Linked DNA regions of Canis lupus familiaris. The protein of the gene in region 2 interacts with the protein of the main gene of each other region in a pairwise test. Links are inferred from orthologs where the notes say so. Each region holds a gene or a part of one and is shown on either strand. Other genes may lie near its edges.

What was found. The genes of interacting proteins can lie anywhere in the genome.
Region 1: the proteins of NAA10 (region 2) and KIFAP3 interact in binary tests that used the Homo sapiens proteins (3 or more experiments, as listed by UniProt). The two-hybrid records come from large-scale screens. The link is inferred for Canis lupus familiaris from reciprocal best matches to the Homo sapiens genes NAA10 and KIFAP3.
Region 3: the proteins of NAA10 (region 2) and RAB3IP interact in binary tests that used the Homo sapiens proteins (3 or more experiments, as listed by UniProt). The two-hybrid records come from large-scale screens. The link is inferred for Canis lupus familiaris from reciprocal best matches to the Homo sapiens genes NAA10 and RAB3IP.

The regions. Positions count from the first base shown.
Region 1 is NC_049228.1:28,534,790-28,539,643, reverse strand, and holds part of KIFAP3 (kinesin-associated protein 3), read right to left. Parts: intron 2,764-4,854; coding exon 2,609-2,763; exon of another isoform or gene 2,605-2,608; intron 528-2,604; coding exon 472-527; intron 1-471. UniProt on the Homo sapiens protein: Involved in tethering the chromosomes to the spindle pole and in chromosome movement. Binds to the tail domain of the KIF3A/KIF3B heterodimer to form a heterotrimeric KIF3 complex and may regulate the membrane binding of this complex.
Region 2 is NC_049260.1:122,963,628-122,967,121, forward strand, and holds the end of NAA10 (N-alpha-acetyltransferase 10), read right to left. Parts: intron 2,238-3,494; coding exon 2,153-2,237; intron 1,651-2,152; coding exon 1,414-1,650; 3' UTR 1,323-1,413; downstream 1-1,322. UniProt on the Homo sapiens protein: Catalytic subunit of N-terminal acetyltransferase complexes which display alpha (N-terminal) acetyltransferase activity. Acetylates amino termini that are devoid of initiator methionine.
Region 3 is NC_049231.1:12,071,221-12,076,074, reverse strand, and holds the end of RAB3IP (rab-3A-interacting protein), read right to left. Parts: intron 3,811-4,854; coding exon 3,711-3,810; intron 3,624-3,710; coding exon 3,554-3,623; intron 3,152-3,553; coding exon of another isoform or gene 3,105-3,151; exon of another isoform or gene 3,059-3,104; intron 1,301-3,058; coding exon 1,218-1,300; 3' UTR 941-1,217; downstream 1-940. UniProt on the Homo sapiens protein: Guanine nucleotide exchange factor (GEF) which may activate RAB8A and RAB8B. Promotes the exchange of GDP to GTP, converting inactive GDP-bound Rab proteins into their active GTP-bound form.

The DNA of each region.
Region 1 (4,854 bases), on a different chromosome or scaffold from region 2:
TTTATGGTCAATATATTGCCCTTTTAATAACAGACAAGTTTTCAAAGTACTCATAGTCCTTTCATAGAGGGGAAAATTAGACCTTTGGGTGCTAGGAATCCAATACAAAAGTAGTTATATATTATATAAAAATAAGATATATACTCTAAAATTGGCCTATTAATATAAAGTATCTTAAATGTAATACAAAATAATTTAGTTCTACTTCAATAGGTTAATTGGTATTTAAAAATATAATGCAATAAGAATATTTAAAACACTTCAAAACTTACTTGTCAAAGTAAATATATCTAAAAAACATGCCACTAACTTTTGCCTGTATGAAATACTGAAATATCTACCTTTCCAGGTTCTAAGTTCAATAATTTCTAATTTCCATATCTATTTAATGTTATTATATGAATTATTGATGGGAAAATGGAACAACCTTACAATCAATCAGTTATCTATTAGATCAGAATACAGTCTTACCTCCATTCCTTCAAAAGGAGGTGGATCTTTAGGCTTGCTTGATTTTTCTTTTTTTTCTGTAAAAAGATTTTTTTTTTAATGAGAAGAACTAAGTTTTTAGAGTTACTGGGCAATTTTTATTTTTAGCAGCTGACTTCAATTATGGCTGAGTTGAGGATCTTAAAACTGAATAGTTTATAAAATCATCTTTTTCCCGATAAATAAAAAAATCAAAACTGTTCACCTATAATCCACCTGTTCTAATGAGGATATCAAGGAGAGTATAAATGATCCCAAAGTCATAATTTCATTTCCTCCTTTGTTACTACCTTTTTGGGTATGTAAACAGCCAGACTCGCCAACAAGAAGCAATATAGTCCCTTCTTAACTCACATTCAAGATGGGAGGAGGAAAATCAATAAGGCAATGATACATTAATAAGTTGAGTAATATAAAAACTAAAATGGAAAAAAAATCACTGAAGGTAAGGAATCACATAAATTAAGGATTACTATTTTGTTTCAATCACTTTTAGGGTGCAAGATTCTGGCTTTGAAATTGTGAATATCAAGTAAAAAAGTTAAAAAAGAAAAATGGAATAGTTTTTTAAAAATAAGTGTGTATTTAACATAGCAACAGTATTTCATTTATGTCTTCAAAACATTAATATCTACATAAGCAGATTGATTTGAACAGATTTACCCATGTTGACATGAAAATTTCCTTATATTCCTTTAATTTGGGAGGAAGAAGGTGAGAAAACTAATTTACCTTGAAAACACAGTTCAAGGGTTTTAGTAGTAAAGATACTCTAATGTAAATGCACTTGGGATTAAATTAATTAGGCATGAGGAAAGATCAATTTTAAGGACACTGTATAACTCAAAATAAGTACACACACTTCTTGCTAGAATACAGGATTTACTTTGCTCACTTTGAACTTATTTATCAAAGGAGTTATCGCCCTCATTTATAGAGATCTTAAGTAGAATATTCTATCATGAAACAATAAAAATTCTTAATATTTTCCTTATAGCAGTTATTATGAATAATTAACATACATTGAATGCCAGTTATGTAGTTGGATGGAATCAAATTCAAACTGCTTATTTTTGCTTTTAAATAAATTTAACATCACTTAATTAATCCAAAAATACATACTGATCACATTAGATATTATATTCAGAGCTAACTAATAAAAGTGTATGTTAGACACAAGGCATTTCATTTGCTGTAAATAGAAAAGACAGAATAATTTGAAAAAAGCCCAAGCAAATTTTCTTTTACTTCTTTCTACTTAGTATAATCAACACTTAAGCATTTATGAATTATTTCAAAGGCACCACATTTTAACTCACCAATGGTGAAAGACATGTAAACTTAATCAGTACTATGAAGTAGAATATGTATTCAATAATCTGAGATGACTTTCTATTCAAATGTCTGTATTTTTACTTTGTTTCATTTTTGGTTTAGAATATTTGATGATGTCTTCTAAAAATAATTGCTTAGCTTTAATATTTTAATGGGTTGGTTCTTTATGAAGAAATTGAAGACAGAAGAATGGCAACAAGGAAGACATTATGAATGAAAAAGGCAGTATTTTCCTAAGAAAGATTCATAAAACTTGTATCTTTAGGATAGTTGAAAACATATGACATATATTTTAACATTTAAATGCTTGAGTCACCCATTCAAATTATAAATTAAATCTCTATAAGAAATTTAGAAAATATAAATCTAATCGTGTAGAGAAAATATTTTGCCGCCCCAAATTCTCTCCTTTCATTATTCTAGAGTCAATATGACAGACATTTGCTTTTTCACTCCTTACCTTAGCACATATGTACACAAACATACACACACACCACAGTATGAAATATACACAACATACACACACAAACATACAGACACAAACACAAACATACACACCTACCACAATATGAAACAGAAGCAGATCATTTTGCATAGAAGTATCTAATACAGAGCCTTCCTGCAGGAAACTAATAGGTTTATTCTTTCATTCATTATTTACTTATAGCACTGGCAAAATAAAATAAAACAATAACAAAACAAACCCCATGATTGAAATATCAAAAGCAAAAACTATAGTTAAAGAACTCTGGTTATGCATTAAAAAGTAAGGAATTATACTTACCTTTTCCTGACAATGAATCCCGGCGGTTCTGTAGATAGTACAACAGCTGTTCTACCTCATTTAATTTTGAGGGATGAATAAGTTTACATTCTTCAACCACCTTCCGTGCCAGGGAAGTTATATCGGTGTTGGCATTGAGACTCTTAAGACGAATGCTGTAAGCATATCAAAATTTTCCAACTCAGGTAATACCAAAGTAAGTGATAAAAATACTACTTCCAAATAAATAGTTATAAAGTATTTAAAGGTACCTGACACAGACTCTTTTAGTAAAATATAATAAAGTATTAGATGTAATTAGGCTTAGAAAAATGCAAACAAATGATTTCTTTGAACTGGACAGGCAAGATCACAAAGGGAACATAAAATCTACATCTGACTCTTCTAGACAAGATAGCATATCTTGTCTAAGATAGGTATCTTGTTTTAAAACAGTCTTTCTGACAACATATATGAAGTCTTAATTAATCATTATTGGATATGAGAATCCATATTGCCAAAAATAAGTAATTTTCTTGACCAAACTCATAATTATTTAACTAGGGACACACACATAATATCAGTATTTTCAGATTCAATTGTTTCTGGTGGAAACAATTGGCAATGTACATGGATTTGTGGTACCAGGGAGAGCCATGAAGACACAAAATTAGGTTCAGGTGAAAACTCAATTGGTGGCAAAAGACTCAAGCAGATGTACCCATGTATGCCTAGAGAAACATTAACAAAGTAGTCACTGTGTGGAATTATTTTTTGGTGAAGACAGCCGATGTTGGAAGAGACATCAAGATATTAGAGGCAGTTGGGACAGAGATCTCTGAAAAATGCCTTGTCCTCAGCATCTGTGAAATCATTATTCAAATACTGATGATCTGAAATAAGTGCAGCATAGTGATTTATATATTATTCCCAGCTAAACAGTCTTCCCTCGATCTGGTCCTCCCAGGATTCTACAAATTACTTAATAGTCTTTAACAAATTCCTTTTATGCTTAAATTTGCTAGAGTGGTGGGGGTACCTGGGTGGCTCAGTGGTTGAGCATCTGCCTTCAGCTCAGGTTGTGATTCCAGGATTCACACAGGGATTAAGTCCCACATCAGGCTTCCTGCGGGAAGCCTGCTTCTCCCTCTGCCTATGTCTCTCTCTCTCTCTCTCTGTTTCTCTCATGAACAAATAAAATCTTTTTAAAAAATGTGCTGAAATGGCTTCTAATGTATGCGACAACCAGCAATACTTAGTCCATTTAACTTTTCTTTAATCTATTTATATTCCTATGGTTTTAAATCTTTTAAACTATTTATTTTTGTATAATTTTAGCTGCATATCCAGAAGGCATTACGTGGTGCCTTTACAACAACTGATGAAACAAAACTGATACATTATCACTGAATGAAGTTCACAGTTTACATTAGGGTTCACTCTTTGTGTCCTATAGTTCTCTAGGCCTTGAATGTATAATGCCATGAATACACCATTATAGTATCATACAAAATGGTTTTACTGGCCTAAAAATGCCCTCTGCTTCACCTATTCTCCCCTCCGTCATCCCTTGCACTCCTGACAGCCTCTAATCTTTCTACTTTCGTTTTTTCTTTTCTAGAATGTCACATATTGGAATCTTTCCAGTCTGGCTTCTTTCACTTAAATGCATTAATATAGTAAGGTACCTCAAATGTGTTTTCACATCTTGATAGTTGAATTCTTTTTAGCCCCGAATTGTACTTGGTGATATGAATGCACCACAGTTTACCCGCTTGCCTATTGAAGGATACCTGGCGTGCTTCCAATTTTTGACAATTATAAATTTTCTACAAACATTAATTCTCCTGTTTTTGTGTGGACATGTGTTTTCAACTCATTAGAGTTCATATCTAGAAACACAACTGCTGGATTATATGGTAAGCCTATGTCTAACTTTGTAAGCAATTGCCAAACTGTCTTCCAAAGTGGTTATAATAAATACCACTTTATATTCCCACTAATAATGAATGAGTTCCTGTGGCTCTATATCCTCACCAGCATTTGGTGCTGTCAATATTTTGGATTTTACCTATTCCAATAGGTATGTAGTGGTATATTGATTTGATAAAGTAGATTTTTCTATCCTTTTTTAGATCTATTTTCTACCAACATATATATTAACAATCTGACTCATCTTCTTTCTATCCAAGGTAATAGATTTTCTTCTTTCAGTGTGTATGCCTCTCTCCTAACTCCTTCCCTCATTATAAAAGACAAAGAAAAAA
Region 2 (3,494 bases):
GAGTGTATGGGGAATAAAAGGCACAGCACCGGGAATACAAGGACACCGTAACAGCAGCGCGTGGTGACAGATGGGAGCTCCACCTGTGCTGAGCGTAGCATCACCTATAGACGTGGCGCAGCACTGTTTACACCTGAAATTGATCTAACATTGTTATGCCGACCAATCCAATTAAAAAAAAACAGGGCTCATGTTCTGTATGAAATGACCCTGTGCAGGGCACTTGAGTGGCTCAGTAGGTAAAGCATCTACCTTCGGCTCGGGTCAAGACCCTGGGATTCTTGGACCCAGCCCCACATGGGGCTCCCTGCTCAGCAGGAAGTCTGCTTCTCCCTCTCCCTCTGCTCCTCCCTCTGCTCATGCTCACACTCTCCCAAATCAATCTTTCAAAAGAATTTTTTAAAAATGACATTAAAATCTTTAAACAAACAAAAAAAAAGGGCAGGCCAGATAGCTCAGCCGTTTAGCGTCTGCCTTCGGCCCAGGACATGAACCTGGACACCCGGGATCGAGTCCCACATCGGGCTCCCGCATGGAGCCTGCTCTTCCCTCTGCCTGGGTCTCTGCCTGCCTCTCTCTCTCTGTCTCTCATGAATAAATAAAATCTTTTTTAAAAAAGGAAATGACTTTATGCCTTTGTCCAAAACCAGAATGTGCAACAGAAAAAGGAACCATCAGTCCTGGACTAGGGCTAATAATGTATCAATGTTGGCTCATGTAACATTTGATACAAAATATAACATTTGATACAAAGTAACTCAGGGATGGTGAAGGAGGCCGGAGGGAGGTTCCAGGGAACTATCCAATGGCTCAGTTCTGTAAACCTAAGGCTGTACTAAAAATAAAGTTTATCAACTATTTCCAAATGAAGGCTTAGGTTAGGGGGCAGATTCCATGGGTATTACGGTAGTCGAACACACCAGACTTCCCGATCTTCTGGATGGCAGGGGAGGGAGGAATCAAGGACAGCTGCCAGGACTTGAGCAACTGGGTGGCTGCTTGGGCCATGACAAGACAGGACGGCACCAGATAAGCCCAGTGAGCAGCTGGACTCTAGGCATCAGGAGCCCAGCAAGGCAGCAGCAGAGCATCTGCCTCCCGGCAGGGACCAGCCTCCAGAACTCCAGGGTGTCCCTCTCCCGGGCCCAAAGGTGCCGAAAGCCATCAGACATGGGAGCCCCACCTCCAAATCCCCTCTACTTGGCTCTGGAGGGCATGCGGTGCTGAAAGGCTGTGATGTCCATAACCACAGGGACACAGAGTGGCTGGAGAGAGGTGGCCCCCTGCCCGCCCCCCATGTGCATACTCGCACACACACACTCCCCAAGGCCACTGGGGGAAGTTTATTGGGAAACCTCGAGGGGCGAGCACAGGATGGGCAGGCCAGGGTGGGGTGAGGAGCAAGTGCGGGCTCTAGGAGGCAGAGTCAGAGGCCTCTGAGCTGTCCTTGACGTCGGTGCTCTCTGTGGTCTCGCTGACCTCGCTGAGATCCTTGCTGTCGCCCCCGCTATCGTCAGCAGCCAGGCCTCTCTCGTCACGACAGGCGTCTCCAGAGCTCGGAAGCGAGCTGCCCCTGCCCTCCACCTTGTTCTCGATGGCGCCCAGCACCACGTGTCTGCCTTTGTCCTTCAGCTCCAGATGCCTTCGCAGCTGCCGCCAGGAGCCCGGGGGGACGGAAGGGGAGACGGGACCTAAGTCTCCTGAGCACGCAGGCCCTCCGCCGCCCCCCACACCGGGGATGAAGGGCGGCAGGCCTGGGGCAGGAGACCTCTTGGGCCCTGCAATCTCCTCTGAGTGAGCGTGCACATGCCTCCCTCACACGGGCTGCCACCAAGCCCTCAGAACGGCCCTGGCCCCTGACGAGCCTGGGGCAGGACCCTGACTTTCTCCTCTGCCCAGCCGAGTCTCACCCCTGAGACCAGGGGACCAAGTTCTGGGCGCTTCCAAGAGCCTCCTCCCTCTCCTCTGCCATCACGCCTCAGACAGGACAGGCTTTGGCAGAGAAGGGAACATTGGGGTGATACCTCCTTTCCAGCCCGGCCATGGCCTGCTCCCTGCCTGGCAGCTGAGAACGTGAGGGGAAGGGGCGCCGACTGGGCAGCACAGCCTCTGAGGGCCTCCGACAGCCTCAGGCACCCCAAGGGACACTCACCTCGTCAGCCATCTGGGTGAGGTCCCGCTTCATTGCGTACGCGTCTTCCCCATCGGCGTAGTACTTGGGCTCCACTTCGCTGATCCTGGGGGCAGGAGGAGCAGAAAAGAACGACCCAAATCAGAGTTTCAAGTCTCCTCAGTCTTCTGGCATCCTGCGCTAGTGCGGCGGCACGTCTGTCTTCCCCGACGGAGACAGCAAGCCCATTCCGACGCGGCCTGCCCTTTGCGCTCGCCAGCAGTAGGCAGCAAGTAGCACCCAGCGCCTTGCACCCTCTGGGGGTTCCCACTGTCCTGTGTCCCTAAGCTGGCTCCCACACATCTGTTTCTGTGGTTTGCTGTGAGCCCAAGCCCTGAATTAGCTGTTCCCTTCCCTCCATGCCCTGTTCCCTGTCACTCACTGAGCAACCAAGGCTGACTCCTGGGCCTAGCCACTGGAATGGAGGAGGACGGGAGCTGGGACCTCTGGTTCCTGACAGTCACTGCCAGGCCCTGTGACCCCTGCTCTGAGGACCTTAGGGGCCAAGCCTGCAGTGGAGGGTGGATGCACACACTCGGGTACCCTGCCACTGGAAGGGTGTTGGACTTGATGGCCTAGGAGAGCTGGCCAGCCCCGAGACCCCACAACTGTTGGCCACCAGAGACTCTATATCCAGATCAGGACCCCTCCCTGAATGCCTTTCCTGGCGGTCCCTCTTCACCCCCAGCAAACTGAAGCTGAAGCTGTCTCTGGGGGTCCTCCACCCCCAGCCTCCCCTTCGAGCAGCTTCCACCACATCACTTCCCTGCCAGGTTTTCTCTGTTCTGCGCCAGGCACACAGAGACTCCCATGTCCTCAAGTGGGCTTGCCCTCATCCACCAGGATACCCCAGGGCTCTGCATCCCTCCACTGCTCTTGCCGATGACTCTACCTGCCTGGACGTGCTTAGGTTTCCATAGCACCACACTCTCCTTTCTCCTGGTTGCTCTCAGATGCTTCTAGGTGCCAGGCCACCTTGAGCCCTGCTTCTGCTCATGTCCCGGGCCCTCACCTCTACTCCCGAACCTCTACTGAGAAGACTGCGCTTCACCACATGGCCCTCCACCTAGCCCTAGCCGGCATCGAGGGACACAACCAGCCACACCAAACGCTCCTGCATCACAACGTGCTTTGAGCAGACTGCAGCAGGCAGCTGTCGTCCCCACAGAGCCTGAAGGAGACATTCTGGTAATGTCTGGAAGTCCATGGCCTGCTCGCCATCTCAGCTGAGCCCAGGTCTCTCCCCAGTCGCCCACATCCTTCCACCTGGAAGGCAGCTCAGCCTGTCTCAGATGCCTGGATGTGCCAGACTTGGGACCACCCC
Region 3 (4,854 bases), on a different chromosome or scaffold from region 2:
AATTTACATCTTTGTGTGGAAAATCTTCTCAAGTTTTGAAAGTCTGAGAACGTTTATTACGCCCTAACATTTGAAAAACTACTTATCAGGACATAAAATTCTAGCTTCAAAGTTCTTTACATGTTCGATTTCAGATTCCTGAGCTGGGCATGATGGTGATGGTTTCTCCCACACGATACTTTTCTCAAACATATCCTTTTGTCTGTAGACTCCCACCCATCCTGATGACTGAATCTTCTACAGGTAGGGTTGCCTGAACCTTTGAAGATAGGACTGAAAACAATGCCATCCTCAGAAAATTAGGTCTCTTACACAATGCTACTGTAAAAATACATTTGTTCGACTTCTGTAGAGGTCAATCTGGCAAAGCAGATCAAATATTTTAAAATACACATATACCTTGACCCAACAATTTTACTTCTAGGCACTTACATGAAGAAAATAACCCAATAATGTATAAAGAAGTATGCATGAGGATATTCATCACAGCATTATGATATGAAAAAAAACTTACAGCTAATTTCCAAACAATATTAACATACTATAGTCAAAACCATGTAGTGATGAAAGACATGTAGAAAAAATACTTAAAGAACAAAGTGTACTTTTTGTTTCAGAAATATGCGCATGTAGTTAGAAAATATCTGAAAGCTGAAAGGTTCTTCTTCAGAAATACTAACAGCATTCTCTAGATGGAGAGATTAAGTGCTTCCTGATTTCTTTTTGCCTTATTTAAATAAAATCCTTCTTTAAAGCCCAATCTACAAAACGGACAAAAATAGAGCCATTCTTGTGGGGGGGACAGAGCTGATGTCCACTCAGCCTTCTTCCTTGCCTCTCACAGGCTGCTGTACACTTTGAAAACTATAATTCAATACATTCAGCTTACGTTATCTACATGCCACAACAGAACTAGAGGAGAAAGCAAAAACATATTCAATCTAATGTTGACTTATTTCTTTATTTAGCTTTTTTTTTTTGCAACTATAAATTACAATCACTGGTACACCTGTAATTCTTTATAGTGTGTTCAACTAAGAGAAAGCAAACACAGCATAGGTCAATTTAAAAGAAATCACAGTACTTCTTAGTGTAATCTGCAAAAGAGGAAAACAGTCTTGGGCCCACTCCTTGGAAATAAATATCAAGTAACCATAAAAATATTCAGCCATTTTCCAGGTATTCAGGGAGGTTCATGCATGGTCCCAGGCACAGCATCAGAGTTCCTCTTTGAAATATCCCAGCTTTGCCAATGACATCTCTTTTCTCAACTGCATAACTTCCCAAAACATCTGATCAACTATACAAATAGAAAAGGAGACACATAAATCACAAGATGCCATCTTAATTATTTTTCAGCTGTTTCACTGAAAACTTAACATTAGCTGAAATGCCATCTGGGCATTTCCTAATGACCTATCTAATGCCTCACCATTTTACTGCTAAGTCAAACAAATTTATTTACTTTGGGTAAATACCCAGTAGTGAAATCACTACATTTTTCATGTATCTGTGACAATCTCAGTGTTATCAATAAATGAGCAAATATTCACCAGTTTTGCCGCAACTATTTGTTAGGTACGTCAATGACCACTTTAGCCCAACAGAAGGTAGACACTTCAGTGTCCTGAGTAAATAATGGCAATCTTTTTGCCTTCATAAGCAATTACCCTCAATCCTCAATTATTCTAACTTAGGGATCTTCTTGCTCTAGTTTGCTACATCTTGGCCATTCCACTGTTTGTTAACACCAGTGCAGAATGAAACAGGAAAATAAGAGTCCAGAGAACTCAGTAACATTCTTTGTGGGAATAACAGAGAAAGATTTTGCATATGGCTCAAATTAAAAATAGAAATAAATGTAGAGGTCGATCTGTAGATGTCAATTATCTCTACTTCAGACAAGCCCTCTCTGCTGAGTCAAAAAAAGCTGGCTTTATATTTCAGACAAAAAGTCTTCCTCTAACATGTCCTCAGATTAGAGACTGATTTAGATCAGTGGTTTTCAACCAGTGGAGATTTTGTCCTCAAGGGTACATCTGACAAAATGTCTGGATACGTTTTTCATTACTGGCATCTGAGTAAAGCTCAGCAATGGTGTTAAACATCCTACAACGCACAAGATAGTCCCTATGCACCACAACAAAGACTTATCCAGCTCAAAATGTTAATAGAACCAGGCCTGAGAAACCCTGCTTTAGATTTAGCTGCCCTAAATCCCTCTGGCACAAGGCACAGATAACACAGATTTTTAAATTACAGTATTAATTTGCTACAAACCCACATGTTATACGATGTGTACCAAGTACTGTGAAGAGGGAGAGTGACAGAAATCAGAGAAGAGGCCACTTCTATCGCCATCACCCTACTACCACTCACGACAATTTCTCCTTTTCATAAAGGAAATTATGAAAGGAAGATGAAAGCATCTTCCCTACAAAAACTTCTTTAACAAGGAGGAAAAAAACACACTTGACAATTAAACTTAACATAAATCATCTGTTCTGTGGCTTAAATCCTATGACCACCAACAGGTATTCAAAAATATTTCAATTTTATTGAAGTTGTAAAAAGTCCTGTACCCTTTAAAGACTATACTACTCAGCCTTCTGAAACTCAATATTAATGAGAGGTTTCACCCTCATTCTTTTAGGCAGTAAAATCCAGTTATATGGGATTCTAAATAAATAGGACTCTTCCCAACATACCAAGGCTTTGAAATGCTAACCTAAATTTTTATCAGCATTACTAACTTTTCCACAGAATTGAGATTCACTACTAAGACAGTAGGCCTCTTCTAGGTTTTAAATAGAAAAATATTTTCAGTCCTTAAAAAGATATGAATAGGAAATTTCCTACAACTTCAAATACAAAATGAGTGTAGACTTTATCCCTAGCTTGGGATCTGCTATTTGTTTTAAAACAATCACATATACTCAAGAAACACTGCTTTGGAGCTGGTGGGCCTTTTTCATTTTCATGCCTGGCATTTAAGACATTTGACTACAGAATCATCAGTAATCATGAAAGACTGTATTAAAAATATTAAAACACTTGCATGAGGTTGGCTCTCCTGGATATATCATCTATATGTTTCGGCTGATTCAGAATATAGTAATCTTTATTCCATTCAGAACTATCCTCATGACTGCTTTATTAATTCACACGTGAAAGTAGAAAATACAGAAAAAAATTATTGTTAGATCCTCATGGTTTCCACCAATTAAAATAAATCTGACCATGTCTAGAGCTTACTCATTTTTATTTCTTAAGAGTAAGTTCAATAAGCCTTTTACTCCCCTCATTTTTACTGTCTGGTTTATCAATACACCCCCCCTTAAGAGTTATAACTGATCCTGCTTAAAACTCAAGAGTAAAATGAGGCAGTTTTAAGGGTTAAATACATTTTAAAAGACAGTAGTTCCCAAACTCTCATACAACTATGAGAGATTCAATATGACTATACCAATAATAAAGTTTATTTAAGCATTACTATGTTCTACACTTTCTGAAGGTTTATGTAAATATTTTATAACCAATTAAGAAAACTCACCGTCCTGCTGTTTCACGAGCCCCTGCTGAATATATCGAATGTATGTAAAAAAGTTACATACAGAGGTGATCTAGGCCAAAAGGGGAAAAAAGTCATAAATAGTCAAATGTGTCATATCAAAGTGAGCTGTATTAAAATTCATGGTTAAGTTACTTACCCTGTATCTGCAAAAAGGAGAAATGTAATAATAGTTGCTTGAGTCCCCTAATTTAATTCTGTGTTTACAGGGCTTACTCTGGCCAGTTAGAGCACATTTTCTGCAAAACAATGACAAAATTTTAGTTTTTTAAAATTGGAAGCGTTTTGCTCCCACCCTTCTGTAGAAGTTTCATCCTCACTAACACAACAAGTATTTGAGACCTAGCAGGTACCTGGCACTATTCTACATGCAGACAGGACTGACAAATACAAAGGAATAAACCACCTTGCAAAAATACGGACTCTCAATAATTATAGAAGGGGTGCACTATATTCAGACATACCATCCTTTCTATTTGCATACTACAGACTCTCAGATTTGATATGAGGGCTTTCTGGTTAGAATGAGGCTGTAAGTCTCTTGAAGGCAGAGACTGTATCTTATTCATCTTTAAATGCGAGGCACCAAGCACATGCCTGGCACACACCAGACATTCAATGACTGTTGGTCAAGTGATGAGCCACCTGTCACTCTACTGCTCAGTACAATGATGCTGGACTGTCTTTCAGGGCAGACTCTGAAGGCAGCCTAGTTATTACCCTCCTAAGCTAAAACCATGGCTGAAAAAACTACTACTCCCTATCGAGGCAAAATGAGTACAGCTGTAACTAAAATAAAGTGATTAACAGCATTTTAAATAACATTATAAATTATATAATAAAGAAAAATATGTTACATGAACATTAAATTTCAGCTATACTTACAACAAATATGATACAGATGTGCCTCGATAATAAAGAAAACATATGGAGTGTATTTAAAATAGGGTAATTCTGGGGTGCCTGGATGGCTCAGTTAATTGAACTCTTGGTTTCAGCTCAGGTCATGATCTCAGGGTTGTGATATTCTCTCCTCCTCCTCTTCCCTCCCCTCTGCTCCTCACCCTGCTCACACACTCTCTCATTCTCTAAATAAATAAGATCTTAAAAAAAAATTATAAAATAGGGTATTTTGGAGGTGGCCATTCCAACCACAAAATAATTCTCATCTTTTCAAAGACAGTTTGCCTCATTGTTCTTTTCTTAGAAAATTCCTTTAATGATTTGTAACTATATTTTTAAAACACTAATAACTAGCTTAGGAAGGATAAAAGATCGAGAAA